Schizosaccharomyces pombe: one gene and its partners. Changing the gene in region 2 together with the main gene of any one other region gives a genetic interaction. Each region holds a gene or a part of one and is shown on either strand. Other genes may lie near its edges.

What was found.
Region 1: mutations in mug73 (region 2) and fpb26 together harm fitness less than expected from each alone (positive genetic interaction), as found in Schizosaccharomyces pombe (one large-scale study listed by BioGRID).
Region 3: mutations in mug73 (region 2) and SPOM_SPBC1271.03C together harm fitness less than expected from each alone (positive genetic interaction), as found in Schizosaccharomyces pombe (one large-scale study listed by BioGRID).
Region 4: mutations in mug73 (region 2) and ppk9 together harm fitness less than expected from each alone (positive genetic interaction), as found in Schizosaccharomyces pombe (one large-scale study listed by BioGRID).

Annotation. Positions count from the first base shown.
Region 1 is NC_003424.3:2,058,563-2,064,580, forward strand, and holds fpb26 (fructose-2,6-bisphosphate 2-phosphatase), read right to left. Parts: upstream 2,325-6,018; 5' UTR 1,916-2,324; coding exon 689-1,915; 3' UTR 501-688; downstream 1-500. Other genes in the region: sac12 (inositol polyphosphate phosphatase), read right to left, coding at 3,244-5,079.
Region 2 is NC_003421.2:622,367-627,239, forward strand, and holds mug73 (transporter mug73), read right to left. Parts: upstream 2,162-4,873; coding exon 1,241-2,161; 3' UTR 1,150-1,240; downstream 1-1,149. Other genes in the region: msy1 (MS ion channel protein 1), read left to right, coding at 1-693; RNA-binding protein mlo1, read right to left, coding at 3,122-3,859; rpl1202 (60S ribosomal protein uL11), read right to left, coding at 4,846-4,873. UniProt on the Schizosaccharomyces pombe protein: Has a role in meiosis.
Region 3 is NC_003423.3:363,512-369,073, reverse strand, and holds SPOM_SPBC1271.03C (NLI-interacting factor-like phosphatase family protein), read right to left. Parts: upstream 1,869-5,562; 5' UTR 1,796-1,868; exon of another isoform or gene 1,744-1,795; 5' UTR 1,481-1,743; coding exon 746-1,480; 3' UTR 517-745; downstream 1-516. Other genes in the region: oligosaccharyltransferase subunit Stt3, read left to right, coding at 1-516; dys1 (eIF-5A-deoxyhypusine synthase), read right to left, coding at 2,420-2,479, 2,532-3,308, 3,444-3,659; SPOM_SPBC1271.05C (zf-AN1 type zinc finger protein, involved in ER membrane translocation), read right to left, coding at 4,985-5,562.
Region 4 is NC_003424.3:1,603,832-1,609,903, forward strand, and holds ppk9 (serine/threonine protein kinase Ppk9), read right to left. Parts: upstream 3,319-6,072; 5' UTR 3,259-3,318; coding exon 3,144-3,258; intron 2,973-3,143; coding exon 1,489-2,972; 3' UTR 1,242-1,488; downstream 1-1,241. Other genes in the region: COPII-coated vesicle-associated protein Erv25, read left to right, coding at 244-565, 699-1,027; sterol transfer protein Osh3, read left to right, coding at 4,331-6,072.

The DNA of each region.
Region 1 (6,018 bases), on a different chromosome or scaffold from region 2:
TCGAGTATGTCAAGGGTTTTATTCTGTCCTGTCATTAGCTGAAGATGATAGGATTTATTTAATGACTTTAAATTGAAGAAGTCTGCTAAAAAATATGATATAAAAGCGACGTTTAATATCAAATACTTTTATCTTGTTGACTTTCTCTAAGGCTAATCAAAAAGTACTCTAACTACTAATACTTTGTTCGCTATTTTGTGAGTTTTTCGATATCTTTAGAATTATGGATTTGCTATCCTTCCTTGCTTAATTATTTGGAAAGTATATACCGTATAACTTTGATTGATCTCGAGAGCAACAGCCACAGTTTTGTAAAACGTGGTTGAAGCTCGATTCTAGAAAAAAAAAAGATAATTTTGCCATTCATGTCTTAAATGCTTCATAGTGCATTAAAGATAACAACTTTATGAATGACATACACAACCAATTGATGGTTCCGAGTAAACTACTTTTTTCTTTCTATTTTCGTTTAAAAGATTTGTTCACGTACAGTAAATACTTTCGGCTATCTGCATAGTGATACGAACTTTAGGTAACTGGAAGAATAATTAACAATAAACTTTGAAAAAAATAATTTTGTATTGAAGTCATCAATGCTGCATTTTATTATTAAAAAATAATTCACAACCTTTGAAAAATTCTGATCAACGTTAAAGGAATAAATCAGCACATTATGAAGAATTTTCTTTCAATGTTTGCCGCGTTGAGTAGAAACAGCAGAAATGGGGACTGTAACACGCTCCTCTATCGTTTCGTATGTCATTGGAGTGAGTTTAATTATTGTATGTAAAGGAACATTAATAAATGGTAATTCCTCAAGTGAAAGATTATGATAGTATCCATAAATACAACGAAGAATAGCTTGATGACATATAATAAAAACATCTCCCTGTCGTTCTAACTCCATAATAATCGGCTCTAACCGCCTTACTACGTCCATATAAGATTCTCCGCCACGATATCTGTAATGAAATTTATCATTATTTCGCAATTCGGCTTCATGAGGAAAATTCTGTTCAATATAATCATAAGTAAAACCATCACACGTTCCTGCATCTAATTCATCCAGTGCTCTCCATTCGAGCTTTTGGCAATTAAGGTGTCGAGCAGTTTGGATAGTCCTAGCCATTGAAGATGTCCAAACCGTAAGTCCTTTTTCACCTATCGAAAACTTAGCAACATATTCAGGAAGAAGAGCAGCATATTTTAGTCCTTGAGGACTTAAGCTTGAGTCACCACCTATTTTTCCTTCAACATTAAATTGACTTTCACCATGTCGGCTTAGCCAAATACTTCGTCGACGCGTACGCAAATTAGAGAGATAATAAACAATCCTAGATTCAAGGTAATTTTCAAGTTTATGAACTATCAGTTCGGCTCCAAAGTCCACAATTCTAACGAAAGTACATTCTTCAGCCTCGGACAAAGGTGTGTAGTGTTTCTCATACTCATGAATACTATCAAGGATTTTATTCTTCGATTCTTCGAACGGAAAGCTTTTGAAATATGGTGAATGCTGACACATATCAGTAATGTTTTCATCGATAATTTTTTGATTTGTGCAGACAACCTCGACAAACATTAAGAGCATATTCCGCGCTTTTGCCAACTCCACTATACTTTTCCGAAACTTTAGTGTACATTGGTTAAAATCAAGAATCGCAACATCAGTACCCTTTTTAAAAACGCTCTCCAGATTATCGAATATGGGGCTAAGAGTTTTAGCTAAATTCTCTGAATCACTGTTAGAATTTTCGGACAACGAATTATCAATTTCTTTCGTATCATAAAGGTGAGTAGAAACGGACATCCATGTCAAATATCTGGATAATTTCATTGCAGAAGATGTCTTGCCAGATGCGGGTAACCCCACAAAGCAAACACATAGGCCCAAAAGTCCTTCAATGTCTTTCATGTTCGATCTTAATGTAAAAAAGTTAGTTCTTAATTTAAATTTTGGGTGTGGTTATGTTGCAAACAAATATTAAAGAATAAATCATAAGAATATGACCAGGTTGCTAATCCTGCCAGAATCGGGTTGAATTATTAAGTGAATATGTTAAATAATGAATATATGTTAAAGAGTCGTATTTCGCTCGAAATGTATGATTCGCCTTGAAGAGCTTGATGGACGGTTTGCAGTACTCGTACTTATGTTAAGTATCCTTAGAGTATGTAGTGAACTCGTCAATGCGTTAAAAAGCTATAATTTTTAAAAAGAAAAACGATTAAATTAATAATATTTAACAGAACGGCTTAAAATATACAAGTTCAGAACATTGCACTCCTGCTAACATAAACAAGAGGGGTATACGTGTAAGTTCAAGCTTAATATACTAAATTGCAGGTCTTCGTTACGCAGTATTATTGCGAGAGATGTTTACGCTTCCGTAAGCTACATTAAGTGATCTCAAGTCTTTGACTTGGTACTAGGAGTAGTTAAATCCACTATTAAAATAATATTCAAAATTAAGTGTGAGCATTTCCATTTCTATAAGCATAATTATGCTAAGCTGATTGTAAAAGTGTATATAATCATTTTCGTAATATTGTGGAGTTTTCATACAAAAACTGTCGGGTAAGGCATAACTTCATCATTTTTTCAGTAATGTGAATTGTGAATTAAGATTCTGGATTGGAAGTATTAGAAAACGTTGCTGAACTGTATGATCTTTTAAAAAATTCATTTTTATAACATGTTCATTGAAAATATTAAACCAGAATGCCCCTAAATTGGAAGAAGTATGTATCCTAAATATTGAACATGAACAACACTTATGAAATTGAAAGAAAGCTTGGCTTTTTCATATATTTCATTTACTGTTTAAAACCGAGTAAAACTTGAGTCAAAAGCCTCAGTGATTCAATGGTCAAAGTTGCCCAATATTTAACACTGACTTAATAAAAGTTAGAAATATTAATTTTGTCTGCTATATTTTTTTCGTGTGTTATCCATACTACAATAGTTTGTTAAGGGCTCTAACAATTATGAAAATCTTAAATTACTAATTGATATTGGTAGGAAGCTTGGAGCAATTAAAGAAAATAAAGTTACAATTACCAATCACGTAAAATGATCTGAATTAGTCACTTGATAAAGTTGGGTAGCATCGCTTTGTTCAGTAGCAAGATTGACATCTATGAAGTCTAATGAAATAAAGAGTGAACTTCGAGTGTTCAAAGAGCGTTTTCTGCTAATTAAGAGTTATAGCAATACTGTTCTTTAGTTATTGAAATGCACAGTTAGACACTTTTTTTGAAAGAGCCGGAACGCAAAAAACGAAACACTTTAAGAGTAATATTTCGGAAATGATTACGAAACGAAAACCAACCTCCCTTAGCATACGTTGGTAGTACTAGACGAGGCCAATTAACGTATTGTCTACGATGAAAATATAGGTAGATTCCAGCATTCACCATAGGGATAGAATATAACAGACGACAGAACAGACTTGGATTTCCAAATAATTCTTGTATAGTTAATATTATCGTGGTGAACAAAAAAATTCCAGGTGCCACAAATCTAGTCCAGTGAAAACGCAAAGGCAAGTCCGGAATCGAAAGTGAGTCGTAAGGACGAAATACTCCAAGACCCAAATCATAGCTATCTTGCAGCATACCGTCAAAAAAATTGTTAAGAATATATCTACGAAAGCAGTTTAATAAATCTTTGAAAGCTCCAAAAATGGTTCTCGTTCCATGGCGAGTCACATCGCCTTTTAAGGCCGGGGTACCAGTGTAGAGATCACTGATATAATCTCCAGTATTAGCCCATATTAAGCGAAAATCTTGTAAAAAACTATCATATTCTTCCAAACTCTCAGAGCTAGAAAGTACACCAATATCGTGTAATTGCATGTTTAGAATAAACTGTGCAATGCTAGTCTGAATGACGTTCGTCCGATCTAAGCAATCCATACAATTTGTCCTTACAAAGTTGGTTTGCATTGCAGTAGTTTTAGATCCATGCTCGGCATAATATTTTCCTTCTATCAAGAGACTTTGAATTTCAGCAAGAAACAAAGGGAGATTTCTACTTCCTTGCTTATGATAATCGTAGTAAACATAAGACAAAGGAGGGTTTTTATTTCGTTTACATAATTTTTCAAACCCAGACCGTAGAGGTGCTTCACGTCCTTTTTGGTCTAGAAGATTGACCACCACAAGATTGTCCCCATAATCGTTGGCAAGTTCTTGAAAATGCTTCCCAAACACAGTCTCGCTATAATCAAGAGGTTGTAAAGATAATAAAGGTCGATAATGAAGATCATTAACTTCGGCCCAGAACATGGGGATACTTCCTCGAATTTGAGTAAAAGAAAGAACCATTTGTTCTTCAAGGGTGATGGGTGATTCGATCATTATTATTTGTTCAATTTCATTAAAATTAGCAGCACTTCCTTGTGCGTTTACACCTCTGGTGAAATACCGCGTACCCGCATAGTCAGGAGAATGTCGTGTAATAACACACAGTCTAAGGTTATAAGTCTTTAAAAACGAGTTAGTAATGGCGATATTACCCTGAATCATCGGTTGAATCCATTCTTGAAAGCCTAAATCCTTATTCGTCAATTCAATTAATTCATGAAATGCATATTTATTCCAAAAAAAGCGGTAATTATATTTTGATGTCAGTTCAAAAGATTGGGTTAGTACGCGTAATCTTTGAAGGGAACAGGTTAGATCTAACGTTGGACTAAAAAGTATTTGGCCTTTTGACAAATGTTTATTGAGCAAACTGATATAATGTAGTTCTTCCTCATCTTTAATATTTAGCAGACCCGTGGAGAATGGAAGAGTCCTTGTAATTGGGAAGATAGCAAATTTCCTTGCCCGATAAATATTGTTTCCGAGAATTGCTGCATGCAAATCACAACTTGTAACAAGAACTACATATTTGTATATTTTCAATCGAATAAATCCATATAACTGAACGTTATTATAGTCAGGTGTCTTGCTGAGATCAAGAGAATTGCTCAAACTAAGGCATCCGTCGACTCTATCTATTCGAAGAGAAGCTTTTTTTTTGGAACATGATAGATAAATGCTGTCTGGAAATACTCTAACGTCCTGATTCATTATTTTGTTGTATTTGAGAAGCGTAGATGCTTTTCTGCTATAATGAACCCCGGACTAATGTATTTTCCAAATTAGGTCTCAAAAGTAAAAAATGAGAATGCTATATTTACAAAAATTCAAATCAAACTCTTTAATGTCCATGAAACGATTTTTGAAGGCTTGATTTCCAACGCAGCGCCTGAGTAACGAGTTCATTGTTACCTGAAGGTTTATGCAGCACGTTTTACAAAACGAACTTTCAGTGACAGTGTAATGTATGATATTATTAACAATTCTCATTGCACTATGTAATGATACGTAAAGTATCGCTATTCATTGTACCTTTGCTTTACAAGATAGGTCGTCTGGTGATGCTGATACTCCCCAATTACCTATATTAAGGCTGAACTACAAACTATAATTCGAAGAATAGGCAAACGAAAATCATAATACTGTATGATATTATTGATTTTGAGAGTAGCAAAAATAATTAATAATTCATCGTAGCGTTTTTCAGATATCACAGAAAACATACCATACTCTATCGCATAATCAAAATAGTTTACGAGCCTTCTTTGACTGCAAGTAACATATAGGCAATGTCGCTTTATATTTTGATACATAATTTCTATAAAAGTTAGGTGTTATATGATAACCAACTCTTCGAAAGGAAGCATATGTTTTGCTTTAATTAAGCTTTATTGATATTTTTACCGTTGTTAAATAATATATACTAAAGATCTGACCCAGTTGAATTTGCTATCTATGTTGTATTGCTTTTTACTAATACAACCGAACTGCCAATTTTTACATAAATATTTTATTAAATCGGATTGAGAAGTAAAAATTATAAAATCATACATTTAATAAAATCCTTTTTCAACACAAATAATCTCCATTGTTAATTAATTGCTTTAACCAACAACCTTGTTAAGCCTAATTTTGACCGCAGGAATTAAA
Region 2 (4,873 bases):
GACGAGGTTTTACGTATGCGTCGAAGAAATATGTTTATGTGTGCATTGATGACTTATATGCAGGAATTGGATATTGTATCTCCTATTTTCAACAGCCCTGGTAAATCAAAGGATTCACCTATGTATGTCAACTTCAACAATGGTTCAATGGAGGGTGTTAAGTTATCTGGTGGTAATGATGGTGGTGGTACTGAAAATCATCGCGACAGCACTGTTGGCGGAGGAATTCTGAAGAACCCAAAAGCATATCCTTACCGCGAACCTACTCCTCCTGGTAGTTCAGATTCCGATACCGCTAGTGTTTCTAAAAAGCGTGTTGACTTTTCCCTTGGAACACGGCATCTGATGCCTGCTTTTGATGATGTTGCTGATATTGGAAGTAAAAGGCTTGGTCGTGATAGTCTTCCCGATGCTGTCATTGAAAACGCTGGCACAGAGGCCATGCGACGCGAAGCTGAGGAACGTCGCCGAGCCGAAGAGGAAGAGTACGAACGTTCTCAACAAGAATCTAGTTCGAATGAAGAAAACGAAAATGCATCGCGTACGTCAGGTGCTCGTTTTAGCTTTTCCTCTAAAGCTAGTCGTTTGTCGGCTAGACCCAGTGCTCGTACAGTTCCTCCGTTGCAGCATATATCAATTCAAGACTTACGTGAGCCAAACGAAAATAATACTTCTAAGTCTGCTCGACTTTAAATACCCATAACACTTTGCAAACTTGCATCGCTCATGCTAGTTTTACTTACTTCATTCGTTGAAAGTGGCTATTTACCATTTTGGGCACTATTTGTTTCTTTTTTTTAGTTTTTATTTATTATTCTATGAAATGTTTAAACGTATATTGTATCTCAACAGCAAATTTTTGTATTAATATTAGCTATGCCTTGTAAAGTTTCGTAAAAGTTATGCAAATGATTTACGAATAATCTTAAACTAAAACTAGTATAATGCTTTTTTCACGTAAACAATGACTCACCGTCGTAAATTTAGACGTTTCAAGTGCGAATGAACGTTAATAATTGTTCAAAGGTTTCGTTTTTATAATAATTATTTCGTTTTCATAATCGTAATTTTTCACGAAAAAGTGTTTGTGTTTTAGAATGCCAACGAAATTCTCGTAGCGAAACTTCGAGTTTGTTTTAAACATTCAGGAAACAAATAATGATTAAAAAACAAAAAAAAAAAAAACGGAAGGTAAATTTCTATAACTAAGCAAAGATAACTGCAACGATGCGTACTGTTATTAGCAATTATTTTTCGTAGGTGAAGAAGGTAAATTGGAAATTTGAATGCGAGTTTCAACGGCCAAATCATCAGCTTGGTTTTGTGCCTCCATGTCCGGACACATTGAAAACTTGTCATCAGCAGGACTGCATGCCCCTAAGGGTATCGATTGAGGCGATTTAAAGTTTTCAATACCAACCAAGTCTAGCATCCAAGAAAAAGCAGCGCCAAAAAAGCCGAATTCGAAAAGATCTAATATACTGTAAAATATGGCTTCTCCAATTGGCGAGATAACATTGAGGCCCTCAGATAAAATCCAACATGCATAATAGAGGAACCAAATGACATGTAAGTAAACAATTGACCATAAAAACCCTAGGCGCGCAGACGTCTCTAAACGGCTAGCATACTTTTTATGCAAAACGACTGAGTGTGCCAATGCAATAAAATAGCCTACAAACGAAAATCCGTAATAGGCCCATTTATAGGGAGATGAAGTTAATGCTGCCGCCAGTAAGCAAACAATCGCAAAAAGCACATAGCAAACGACATATGCAATTTCTAGTATAGATACGCCTACCGTCCAATGTAGCATTACGATGATTAATGGGAAATTGATTAACCATTGAATATAGCGAACATAGTAAACCATTCGTACACTAACTTCTCGAAAAAAAGAAGCAGAAGAAAACACATTTTTCAATCCATAATTGCAGGCCATGGTAAAGTAGGCCAAGCAAGAAACCAAACTGAGGATGGAAAAGAAACGGTGGTAAGTCTGCTTTTGAGGCAAACTGAATATCGATACTAAAGGAAAGACAATTGCGCACAGCAGGAACACTGCAAAAACAGCCCAATAGTAGTTTGAGCTTATCTTTTGCAAAGCGACTTCCGGAAGCTCTTTCAGTACCATTCCGGAGGAAGATAATTTCGCATTCATGATGCGTAAACAGGATAGAGGCTGGATTAAAAGATATAGAAACAACTCTTATATTCTTAAAGGTAGCGATACTAGTTGAGTTGAAAAGTCAAAACTTTGTAATAATGGGTAGCTGAGACACGGTGAAGGTGGCTCTGAGAAAAGTCGATTAAAAAGCCATGTTTGTAAACAAACAAACTTCAACATGTAAACAAACAATGATGTTACTCTTTCCCATTAAAAGGCATTTTAATTGACTCTAATTGAGAAAACGCAAAAGAACATTACAGCCAGCAATGTCAAATTTTTCACTTTTTCTTACTTACCGATGACAGCAAAACAGGTAAAGTCGCACGTTACAGAAGAAGTCCGAAGTTGAGAAACAAAAAGGTATAATAAAAAAATAAAATTCCAACCTGTAGAAAATAGTTTATGTACAAAAATTAAGAATTTCGACATTGTTGGAAGTAAAGGTGGATACATCATATAAACATTACAATCCTTCTCTTTTTCTTAAATACAAATAAGCTCATCAAAATATATACATATGGATAGCAGAGTGGAAAATCTTTGTAACGAATGTGTATGTCAAAACGATTAGAACGAAGAGTTTTTTAAAAATGGAAAACATATGAGTATAGGTAACTATTAAAGAATTCGCCTAGGAAATACTTACATCACGCCCCAAAAAGCTATTAAAAAAATAAAACCGAGTTTTCACAGATGTTTTAAAACACACCTAAAAGGTAGGATTGAAATTAGAAGCGTTTAGGGCTCCAATATCGGATGCTTGTACTCGGATAAGTTGTTTAAAGTGAAGCAAAAGTCTGGGTATAATTTATATACACAAATAGGAATTCAAAAGTTCTAATTCATCAAAAAAGCATTAAGCATACAAATAAAGCATGGCATGAGGAGAAAACTTCAAGAAACATGAGTCATATTGTAAAATAAGAAGTTAAAATATGTTAAATGGTTACTTTAATTCTTGGCAGCAACACCAAAGCGCTCAGCACGCTTCCTAGCTTTTTCTGCCTCTATAGGGTCGTCCAAAATATTACTCTTCCGCTTGGATGGAGCACTTTTAGGAGGCGCATTCTTATTTCTTTGTTTAGAACGTGAGTTGGAACGATTTTGAGGGTTCTTAGATTGATTATGGTTTTTGTTATTACTTGACGCTAAAGGTTGTTGAATGCCAAAACGTGCAGCACGAGCAGCTTTCTTAATTTGTTCATCGTCCACAGGAATGCCAAATCGTTTAGCCCTTTGGATGAGTTTTTCTTGCTCTTTAGCTACATCTGGGCTAGAGACTTCATTAGATACACTTTGTTTGGATTCCTCTGTGGTTTCTTGATGCTCTTCAGCACCAGTGGAAGTTTCAGGAGCTTGTGAAGTCTCTTTCGAAATAATGCTTTCATTTTCCTTTTCAATCTCTACAGCAGCGGCAGGAGCACTGGTCTCTTTACTTTCGGGTTCTGCTGGCTTGTTAACGTCAGTTGAAATAGTATCATTCTCCATGTCTCCCCAATCAATATCATCCTCGGGAGGAGCAAGATCTCCTAGATCTGTAGCGTTGTTATTCGAAGTATTTTCATCGTTACTCTCGGTCGCTGCTGTCAATCGGCTTACCAATTCAGCTTTGTTTCCAGCAGTGGAGAGGCCTTTCTCCGCAAGTTTTTCACGCAGTTCTGCAACTTTAAGACTCTTGTAATCTGACATTATGAATATAGACGTATATGCGCGTCAAAATAACACGTTTATTGAATTCGGGATATACGCAGTTGACAAGGGTGAATATGTACGAACCAGCCAACTTTAGTGAGACATGTTGGATGCGCAAATGAAGCGTAGTGAATTGGAGTGATGATTGTGTCAAACATAGTGGTGCTATTTTGCGTATCGCTATGTAATGTTTACTGTGCTATGGTGAGGAGATGGTTCAAAGAAAATGTCTATAAACGATGTTGGGATATACTTTCTCCCTTTTATATGAAATGTACGAATCAAAATCAGTAATCAGTTAGATTATTTAATATTTATTTTTTACTTTAATTAATCGTAATTTTGAATTGGCATTTTAAACCGATTTCTAGAATACTAAAAGAGCTTGAAGAAAGAGCAAATCATTCATTCGTTCCTTACAAAGTTATTATTATAGTTTACTTGTAGATAGTGAAAAAACTCCATTTATTGAACTGGGTATTTGCTGCTACGTTTGCTTTACCTTACTATATGCTTACAACGATTATGAACTTAACAGGCAATTATTAGTTTAGTATCTTAGCTCAAGAGCAGTTGATAGTATTCAAAAATAAAAACAAAATCACATGTAATTACAGTCATAGTTTAATGTGTTAAAACGGACCATTCATCAAGTATGAACATTTCTTTCTACCATTCCAGGAAATATTTTCATGAATACAATTTATAAAAACCCGACATCAACAACAAATAATATCATTAAAGCACAATTAAACTACAAGCGCCTTAACGTTTACAACTTTTAAATTAAAAGTATCCAGTGCAAAATTTTGGATGTTTTCCCGGATGTCAGATATGCAAGAGAAACCTATATTAAACACTGTATTTTTTGAACCCTATAAAAAGATAGCAAAAACATCAAGATCTAAACATTGCTGTTTTATACAAAACCCGTATACTACCAAGCAAGCACATAATCCGTTTACATTAACTTATGTATGCGATTATTCTTGGGGGATCTCAATTTCGCCA
Region 3 (5,562 bases), on a different chromosome or scaffold from region 2:
AAAGCCATGTCTTCACCTGAAGAAAAAGCTTACCCTATCCTCCGTAAACACGATGTTGATTATATTCTTATTATATATGGTGGTACTCTTGGATACAGCAGCGACGACATGAACAAGTTCCTTTGGATGATCCGAATTTCTCAGGGATTATGGCCCGATGAAATAGTAGAGCGTAACTTTTTTACTCCTAATGGAGAATATCGAACTGACGATGCGGCTACTCCCACTATGCGTGAGTCTTTATTATATAAGATGTCATATCACGGTGCTTGGAAACTTTTCCCTCCCAATCAAGGATATGACCGTGCTCGCAATCAAAAACTACCATCGAAAGATCCTCAACTATTTACTATCGAAGAAGCATTCACTACCGTTCATCATTTAGTTCGTTTGTATAAGGTTAAGAAACCGGATACACTTGGACGCGATTTGAAACAAGTGACATTATTTGAAGAAGGCAAAAGAAAGAAGCTCCGCCGTCCTGCAAAAACTAACGAAATTCCTTTGAGGGTTTGAGTATTGCCATTTTTACTTCCAGTAGAGATGCTTTACCATATGTTCTAATTTACTAAGATTTCATTAGTTCATAACTATTATAACATAAAAATAATACAATAATTAGTAATATCCGCCTAGCTATGTATACTTTGTAAGTTGTTGATAGTTGTTGAGTCACCTAAAAGCAAGTCGAAAAGCACATAAAATCAGCTCCGATTAGAATGAAACAGGTCAAAAGTAAATGATCTCAAGGTTGGGGGTTATCAACTTGGCATTCTTTTTTATAGTTTTCGTCAAGTTCATCCAAGTATTTTAAATTGTCTTCTAGTGACTTATCAGCCAAAATTTTGAAGGGAAATTTGTAGATATAATAGCTAACGTTGGGAACCGATTTCAAATGCTTTAAATATCTAATTACACAAGCAAGTTCAATGTCTTTGGGAATGTTGGAATGTGACTTTGCGACGAAATCAGACACAGCTATATGATTATACGGATGAGCAGCACATTTTGTTTTGGAATCATCAACTATTATAGTGTTGTATTGAGACCAAGAAACAGGTTTACCCGTACTGTCGTGGTGAATTTTTTCCCAAACTGTGTCCAAATTTTTGTAGGTTTGAACTTTTCGGTCAAACTGATGCTTCGTAAGTTTCATATCCACTCTTGTCCAACAAGCTATTAAAGCCTTTTTTTGCTCCTCATTCATGATTGCAGAGAGCATCGCTTGCACATTGTGCGGTTTGGATGAGCTGAACACCATTACCGAGAAGTTGGCGAAGATGTATTTAAGAAAGTTATGAAGACCCGGTCTCGGAATAGGATTACGAGAGGCTTCGTATACGGATTTTTCTGATCTGACTGCAAGCGCGCGACATAGCAAAGTTCCATTCAAGTCTAAAATAACTAATTTCCTATTGTCTGTCGCACCATTGCAAGAAGAGGCCTGCGAAAGATATGTGAGAGAGGGTTCTGGTGCCATTAAGTTTAAAGTTCGTTTTTTGTAAAATTGTATTCTGTGGAAAATTGAGGGACTGATGCGCATCAACCCGATCACTTTTTCGACGGGTAAATTAAACTTGTTTGGAAAATGGTGCTTTGGTATATCAAAGCCAAAAACTGATAAAAATTAACAATATAAAGCTTTGTAGACAACGAATATTAAACGAGTACTTGAAGCCAGCACAATACAAAGCACTAAAATTCTACGTTACAAGGAACTCGACAAATAATCGCAGGAAATGACTAAAACCGTAAAAGAATTAGTTTGTTTCTTCGCTTCGAAGATTAAACTTACAATCCTTCTATAATTAGCGCGTTTCGTAGTGATCCCGACACATCTACCTCTTATATGTTTTGATAGGTGTTCAGAAAGTAAACTGGAGTTCTGAGAAGTTTATATTTGCGAACTGGCGGGTCATATCAAATACGCGGAAATACGGGAATAATTATTATAACTAATGCCTAGCCACAGTGGATCATAATCTGAATGTTTCACAATTGACACCTCATCCGTGTGGCTGTACAATGAATTTTGGAACTGCTAGCTGTAAGGTGATTGTGAGATAAACCATAAGACAAGGAAATATAAAACTAGTAGTTTTTAAACGGTTGCTAATTAGGAATATTAATACGGACACTTCATGATTACAAACAACCAAAATGACATTAGGCAGTTAACTAAACAATATGACAAGTTAGTATTATTTCTCGTAAAAAAAAATTTATGATTAAACAAACATAATTGATTTTTTGTAAGCAACATTTTAATGTATATTTAATAATTTTTTCTATAAAAACCCAAACATTGGTGAACTTTTTAGGAGATTGAAATGCCTTTGCTTTTGATCAGTATAAAAAACAAACGCCCCATAAGAATCGTGTTCTAGGAAAATAAAGCTAAATTCTATATTATTTTAATTCACTTCGCGAAGGTAGCGGCCACAATTAAAGGAAATAAGAGACTCACCTCCCCGTAAACCTACAGACATCAAAAGTTAGAATTTGCTATATACAAGTATAGCGTCACATACCTTTACTTTCTTAGCATCGCCACGAATTTTTCCCCAACTGACAGCTTCATCGGGTCGAGCACCAGCATCACTACCATCAAATTCGTTGGCAGAATTGATGTAGACGCTCCATTCTGCCCCATTGCGCATTAAGTTTGCATTGCAAATATGATGCTTGACAACACCACCCCCAAGAATGATGATTCCAGACTTGTTGGCACGAACAGCATGAGTATTCATGTTTCGGATATCTGCGACAATATCCAAAACTAATGGACGAGGAGTCGCTTTGTAAGTATGGAAATAAAGCATATCACCAATCGATCCATCTGTAAGAGCAGGACTATAGATAGGTATATTATTCTTATATGCCCAATACAAAACACTAGACTCATCATTGATTTCTTTACCCAGACGACGGATAAAGGATGAAGGAGTCCAATGAGTACCAAGAGTCTCTTGTTCCTCGACCATTTTATTAAGGATGGGAAATATCCATTCCTCAAAACGGCAATAATTATCGTTTGGAACAATCAAGTTACCGATACGGTTCAAACCTTTGGCACGAAGATTTTTCCCATCTAAATGAAAGTCGCCAACATAAGTAGGGCCAAGACACTTAATTATGTCTTCTTCAACACCTCCAGCTGTTGTAACAATAACATCTACACATTTGTGCTGGACCAGATAGCGCAAAACTTCACGGACGCCAGAAGATATCAAGTTACTGGTGTAACCAAGGAAAATGGTAGCACGATCACTTTTCTCTTCGGGGGGATTGGGATCGCGCCAATTTCTCTGTAACAATTAGTATTGCTCAATCGATATGTGCCTAGCAGGCATAAAGTAAGTCATATTTTTTCACAATTTTAACAGAATAGCGTATGAAAGCTAAAAGAATATCAAGAAAAAAAAACTACATTTTAAACATACCATCTCATTTATGATAGTCACCGCATCATGAAGGTTGGTAGCCTGGAATCCAATTTTTCCATACGACTCGACCAACTCTTCTACTGTTATGCCAGGTCCTCCAGCCTTCTTTCTCTCATCATACTTGTTAAAATCTGGTCCGACGACTTCAGTTGTCAAATCACTAGGCTTTGAAGAGGCTACAAAAACGGCGTCCTTTGCTAGAGATTCATCCATGGTTTACGATAATTATCGGTATGGTAAATTTCTGAATAATTCCAAAAAAAAAAAAAAGCTTTTTAATATATGTAAATGAGTCTATTTAATGAAAGAAAATCAAATATTATAAGACTCAATTCCCTTAGTGTAGAGGAGAAAAATTCTAACAACACGAATGATTTAAGCAACAATTTTGATTTTTATAATTTATCAAAAAACCCGAGAGAAGATGACAATTATTCTAATTACTCTCTCAAAATATGAAAATTTTTAAACAAAAGGCTAAAAAAATGAAGAAAAAAGTTTCCAAAGCAGTTTTCGTTGACTTTTTACGATATACGTTCCGGGTACTGGGTTTCGTAGAAAATCGATCTACATGAATTGCCTGACTTGAATGAAAATTTCCATCACTAAAATAAATTTTGGATTGATGCGATTAAATTACTTGATCGGATGCCGACCAAAAGAGTTGAATACATGATTTCAAATGACTATAAGCGAAAATGCTAGGGGGCTTTACATTACAAGTATAAGGAATTATAACTGGTTTAAATCTAAGTACTTAAAAAAATTTTAAAGCAACTTTCAAAGATTTATTCATCTGTTTAAAAATATTTCAGCAATCTATCGGAAAAACAAGATAGTCAAGTCCAAGAAACCCACAAAAAAATGAGTTAGCTGACACTAGGTATTAAAACATTGCACCAAATCAGCAGGCAACTGGAGTTAAGTAATTTTGATCTTAAAGCAATGAATTTTTCATAAAAGTTTTTGAGAATACCAGATGGTAAATTCAAGAGATATGTGGCGAACAGAGATAAGAGTAGTATAGAAACAATTAAGCTTGATTACAGGTACCGAGTTCACCAAATCAACTCACGATTACAGTTGAGGATAGTAAAATATTAGAAAGAGCATATGAAAATTACACATGGCTCTAATGTCAAAAGCCTACTGCTTGGCAGACGGGAAAAAAATAAAATAGAAAGTAAGTATCATAATGGAAGTACGATTATTCATTAAACAGTCAAATAAAACATTAGAAAATGCAAACGAAAATGAGGTAACTGCTGTTGAAAAGGGAAAAAAAGTAGATCAAAAAATCGTGGATCCATCATTACTGATTGAAATTATAGGAACGATAAAATTCGGAGCGTCAAAGGGAAGATATTTAGAAAACGAAGATGACGGGAAAGGTAACGTGGCCTCCCGTGCAAACAAAGCCAGCTAAAACATTAAAAATAATAATAAGGATAACAGTAATAATAAAACTCCAGCTTAAGAAGAAGAAAAAAAAGTTCTAAGATGGTGTTTTGTAAAAATGTTCAAGTTAAGAATGGATTTTAAACTTTACTTATCAAGGTATCACCATGTTCTTTTTCAAGTTTTATACGGTTGCGTTCATGCTCTTCCTTTCTGAGAGAGAAAAGAGCAACGCAATCATGATCTTCCATAAGACGATGGGCAGCACAAAATCTGCCATTGCAATGCAAGCAATTGCCAGCGAGGCGCAAAGTAATCCTCGTGCAAGTTGGATGGCAACAACGTCTTCTAGAAGTCGCTGGGCGGGTAAGTAATGCTTTGTCAGAACTCTTCTCGGATTCAAGAGGAGGGTTTGTTAAATTGGATTTAGAAATTGAGGGAATGGTAGAGGATTGCTTGAAATTCGACACAGCTTCCGTAGATGCATGATTAGGAGTTAAAGGGGAAAAATGTAAGTGGAAAGCAGATGTAGAGTAGTCTTTGAAATCAATGTCACATGAAGAAGGTAATGGTGCAATATGAACGGCAGAGTCGTGGATAATGCCATAATCAGCGCAAGTCATATTCATGTTTAAACGAGTTCCATGGTAATAAAATGCATGGAGTGATTTTGCATTTTTTGGGAGGATTCCCTGATCAGATAGCAAATCAAAGATAT
Region 4 (6,072 bases), on a different chromosome or scaffold from region 2:
ATTTCTTACACTAATAAAAGTTGATTCGTAAGGAAGTATCTCAGAATTCTTATTTTTGTATTTTTTGTTGCATTGTAGCTGTAAGGAAAGTTAATGAGACGCAGCGCACACTCCCCCTTGGCATTCGGTTTACCATCATTTAACTAGAACAGGCAAGATTTCTTTCTTTTGCCAACCTGTATACAGCAGTGGTGGTTATTACGTCGTTCATATCGTATCCCAAACATTTGGAGTTATTTCAAAATGATGGTTTCTTTGAAATCTTCGTTGTTCTTTATGCTAGCATTATTGACTGTTGTCCATGCTTTAAACTTTGATATTCCTGCCAAAACCAATCCAGAGCCTTTCTGTCTTCGTGAATACGTAGGAGAAAAGAACCTTGTAATTGTTAATCTGAAAACTACTGGTAATATGGGAGATGGACAAACCTTGAGTATGATGATAACTGATTCATCTGGCAACACTCATAGCAGTATTCAAAATGTCTTAGGCGAGAAGAGTGTTGCCTTTGACGTTGATGCTTCTGCTATGCTCGATATTTGCTTCCTAAATACTTTGACACCAGGTATGGTACTATATCTAAAAGTCGTATTTACTTCAACGGCTATTTTGATTTGTTTACGTTGTTTAGATCCCTTTCTTTCTTTGAAAAAGAAATCCTTTATGAGTTTAGCTTTCTGACTGACATTTAAATGTAGGTGCTATAGAGTCTGAACATAAAAAGCGATCCGTCAAACTTGAGTTTACTGTAGGCGCTGACGCCGATGATTATTCTTCATTGCAAAAAGCAAACAACTTGGAACCTGTAGAAGCTGATATCCGTCGTGCAAGAGACTTCATTGAAGAAATCAAAGGAAAAATTTACTATTTGCAAGCTCGCGAAGCTAGATTCAGAAACACTAATGAAAGTACTAATGAGCGTGTCAAGAATTTTGCATATCTTACTTTTATCTCATTATTTGTTCTTGTTATATGGCAAATCCTCTATTTACGTTCATTTTTCCAAAGGAAGCATCTTATCCCTTAAATTTCACATGAACAATAAATATACGTATACGGCATACTTGGCACTTCCACAATTTCCAAAAATTAATTGGTTGCTTTTATATTCCGTACTAGGAATTACTGTGAGTATGGACAAACATTCACATTTAATGCATATACACTACTTCACTCTTTAACTTCATGAATAAAAATAAAAGATTGTAGTAAATTACATTAGCATAATTCTGTTGTAATATTACAACTGTTTATCTTCATTGTTTGTGAAATAACTAACAAATTCAAAAAACAAAAGGGAAATGTAACAACTGTGAATTCTAATTGAAACTAAATGAGAAAGTCGTAACAAAAATATCAAAATTCAACTTAGTTTCACAATATTAGTAAATGCAAACAATATTGAAAACAAAAGCTTTACAACAAAAAAAATCGTAAAAGAAAAAAAAAGGATAAAAAAGGGAATTAGGTTGAGTTACGCGACTGACCTTATGCAATTTTAAGGATCAATTGTTTGACAACTTCTAAAAATGGCATTGGACTGTAAGATGAAGTGTACTTTATAGAATCATCACTACTAGAAAAGCGGATATCAATCACGCTAGCAGATGGTCCAATAGAGAATAATTCAATAACCAGATAAACAGGAGAATTATGACATGTAATGCATGAAAACACTTTATACTTATTTTCCTTTAGAAAAGATTCCTCATCACAGGGCCGAAACCGAGCTCCTAACTCAAGTAAAGCCTCACATAGCTTTCTCAATACTTCAATTGGATTTTTGGCAGTTTGAATCCCATAATGCCAGCGTAAAGAACGAAGTCGGTTGGGGGCGGGAGGTCGGGATAATGGATGGTTGTAGACCTTATTCATGAATGAAGCATGTCTCTGTGGAAGAGAAGAGCGTAAAGTTTCAACGTTAGAAGGAATTGGTGGAATATCAGTAGGATCTAAAAATCCGGATGATTCTGCCATGTCAGAATGCCACGAAGTAGCCGAATACAAGTCCTCATACGACGAATAACATAAAGATGCGGGATCTGGATTAGGAGATTCAGTACCTGAAATGGACATTGGTTTTGACGGGGATAGGGCTGAGTGATCTGTGGGCTGAGGAATTTGACCTACACTACTGGAAGGCGAAGTTATGGAAGGGTCGAAAAGAATAGCAAGATCTGGAGGAGAAAAGGTGACAGATCGATGCTTGGAAGAAAAGGATGAAGTACGGGAAGGTAAACGGGAATGCGTGGGAAGATCAGCGATAAACCAAGGATGTTGCATTATTTCTGCAACTTTGATTCGTGAAGTAGGAAGCACCATTAACATTTGACGAATGAGATCTGAGGCTGAAGAAGATACAAAACTAGGAATGGTGTAGATTCCTTTACAAACGCGACTTAATACATTGGAGATGGTTACATCCTCAAAGGGAAACTCGCCGACGAGCATCAAATACAATAAGATTCCGCAACCCCATACATCTACATCACAACCATCATAATAACGGCCTTGAATAACCTCAGGAGCAGCATAATGGGGAGTACCGCAAGAGGTACTCAGAAAGGAACCATCAAGCATAAAATTGGAAAGGCCAAAATCCGTGAGCTTGACAACCAGATCTTTATTAAGTAAAATGTTTTCCAACTTCAAATCTCGGTGAGCAACACGATGAAGATGACAATAATCGATGGCATGGACAATTTGTCGAAAAATCTTGCGAGTGGTACATTCATCCAGTCGATTATGCTTAACCACCATACTGTGCAAATCAGTATCCATATACTCTAGTGCGAGCACTGTGTACTTGGGAACCCGAAACACCTGGTATAGGGTGATAATGTTTGGATGGTGCAATTGCCTTAAGATTGTCACTTCTCTTTGTAAACGCTTCCACGTATCTTTATCTTCCAATTCATCATTGTAAACCATTTTCAATGCGACCTTTTCATTTGTTTGAAAATGCTTGCCCACTACACTGTTAGCCATCGTACAATTGCCAAAAACAAAATCAAAGACGATCGATGCGCAAGATAACCATGACACCTAAGTAGTCTATCTCTACTGTCTATAAGTAGTCTACTCTATCTTATTAACAAGCCCCTACAAGACAAAGTCAACTAAATTTCACCTCATGTACTTACATTTCACTTTGGCCAAGTTTCCTTGTCCCAAAGTCCTTCCCAAAAGCCAAGGCCCAACATAGGTGTTTCCTGAATCCTTTTCAGACTCTGCCGATGCAGAAGAAGGGGTTTGCATAGCAAGTCGAGCCAGCTGACTTTATAGGATGAAATTCGTTATTCGTGTATATAGGTGGTTAGCATGTGCATGTTGCTGCATACCGTCCGACTTAAACATGATCCGCGCATCTGATGCTAATTTGTTAGCGATAAAAAAGGTGCACGAGGCAAAGTAGTGTGATTCAAAGCAACCTTGTAATAAGATTATATGGCGTAACGTGCTATCTTTTGGTAAACATCTCCACGGCGACATTGCAGACAACGCTAGCGTTCGATACGAGCAACCAATCTGCACTTTATTTAATTAAGGTACGCGGTCTATGGGTTATCAGATGCATAGGTATGTAAATTTTGTGTTATGAAATGGAAAATCGAGCTGGTATTGTGTTATGGGAAATTATGCCAATTTTCAAAGTTTATGAGTACATGGGAACTCTCTATTTACCCTCTTCCATCATTAGATCCGTCCCAACTTCTAGCCAAAATTTTTTGCACAATAAGCTACAACAATACAGCCGTGATAATGATAAAATTAGTAAAAGCAGTAATAGAAATACTCAAAGACAATTAAATAAAAAATTACAACAGCTAGATTTTTTGACTACAGAAAACATTTGATTTTCGGTTTAATCCCAAAAACCCGCATTATTTCGCACGATGCCATCAATGCTAGTAGACAAACATAAAACCGCATATTACAGACCGTGCGAATGTTTTTGTATAGCTATTTTTTAATGTAAAGTATATTTTGCCATATCTGAAATAGCCCGATCGAGGCATCCCAAGTACACACTACGGAAAGTGATAAGTGCAAAATTTTCTTTGTATCCGTTTACATACTGGCATACCTATTGCCGCTACCAGCCCTTTGTTTACTACTTAAGTATACATTACATTAGGTGGCCGCCAAAAAACCGAACGTTCCGCATCGGTAAAATACCTTGGAGTCATTCGCCCGAAAATCCCGAAACCGAAAATCCATCTCTTACCACATACGTTTAGGCAATTATTTTATTCCTCTCCAGTCATCAATTGAAAAAAATAGGCTTTCTAAGTTTTGCAATTATCACAGTAGAAGTCCATGAGTCAACATGGAAACTGTGGAGATACGAAGTAAGAGTCTGTTGATACAATGGCTCACGGTGGAATCGAATTCCTTACTGAGTTGGCAACTGCATGTGAAACGGAAAAGCATAAAGTTTGATATATATCATAAAAAGAATGACACATCTAGCTTGCTAGATGGATCCAACAAAAACACCGATCGTTCCATCCTGCATACAAAGCGTCAACACACTCACGAAGCTGGTATCAAGAAGTTGAGTGCTGCTGGGTTAGAATTATTTTATCAAGGAGAGCGATGTATGTCGGAAAAGCCTAGTGAGGGCTCTGTCTACATTGAGAATGGAGGACTTTATGCCTTCGTGTTTGATAACACTTTTTCGAAAACAAAACCAAAAACTGTGACCTTCCTCTTGACCGCGCAACCATACAACGGTCCGAGAATACCAAATGCATCAGTCCATGGCTCTCCTAAACAAATTATTTCTGGAACCTTGCTTAAAAAGCGCCGAAAGAAGGGCCAAGGCTATGCTCGACGTTACTTCACTCTCAACATGGTGGAAGGCACGATCTCATACTATGCTAACGAAAATTCTTCGGTAATGCGCGGTAAAATTCCCTTGAGCATTGCTGTGATTAGCGTTGCTGCAGAGACGCATGAGATCAACGTTGATTCAGGCGTAGAACTGTGGAACCTACGAGCACATACTCACCAAGATTGGCTACGTTGGTGCAATGCTTTGGAAAAGGCGAAAAATAGTCAAACTTCTTCAAAGCTCGTAGTAGACGAAAGGACACAAGAATCGTCATCCAATCAGTTAGTCTCTATTTACTCAAGACTACGTGAATGCCTGGATATTGCTCAATTGTATCGCACCAGTCGTATCAAATCGGCTTCAAGTCATAATTTTTCTGTCCCTGAGATCCGTATACAACTTCCCGGTGATGCCAAAGAAAACAAGGAAACCCGTACTTCAGTGGAAATTACTGCTGCTGAAAACGCGCAAGCTGCGGTTACTTTACGCAAGGTTACTCGTCAACTCGGGTCTTTGTTGCATGAACTGGAATGCTTTATTCAACACCATGAATATACTAAAGAACGTACGGCGCAATCTTCTCCTTCGTCACGCATGTCTATGGATTCCAATTTTGAGCAACATTGGTACGACGCTGAAGATTATGAAAGCACAACTTCTCAATTGAATCACTATTCTGAGTCGGGTGCTCACGCAGCTGATGCTACTAAATCAAGTGTTGCTCATAATGAAAAGGTGGAGGACATCTCTGATTCCGATATTCCAATAATGAAAACTTCTTCTAATAGCACTTCCCTTGATGCAGATCGTGATTCTGACACTTCTTCTATTTCCGATACATCATCCAACTCTTCAGCTCCACATGAACAGTTGAATGCAACTTCTCTCGCCTCAACAGTAGATGAGTCTTCTCGGTCACCGCCTCTTCCCGAAGTTGAAAGCAATAAAGAAAACGATATCAAAAGAAAACAGCCATTCCATGATTTAATGGATTCTTCATCACCGGATGATTCCAGTTTTGCCAATGCTAAAAGCGATGAAGAGGTTCAAAAGCCTTCTGTTTCTAAAAACATCGCCGACGGGGCCGTTATTTCTATCCCTAAGCCTCTCACCCCTAAACCCTCCGATTCCAACTCTCTTTACCCTTTACCGCATTCCAAAGTTGGAAGAAGAAAGAATATACCAGCTATTACTGTTCCACCGCCAAGCATACTATCAATTTTACGAAAAAACAT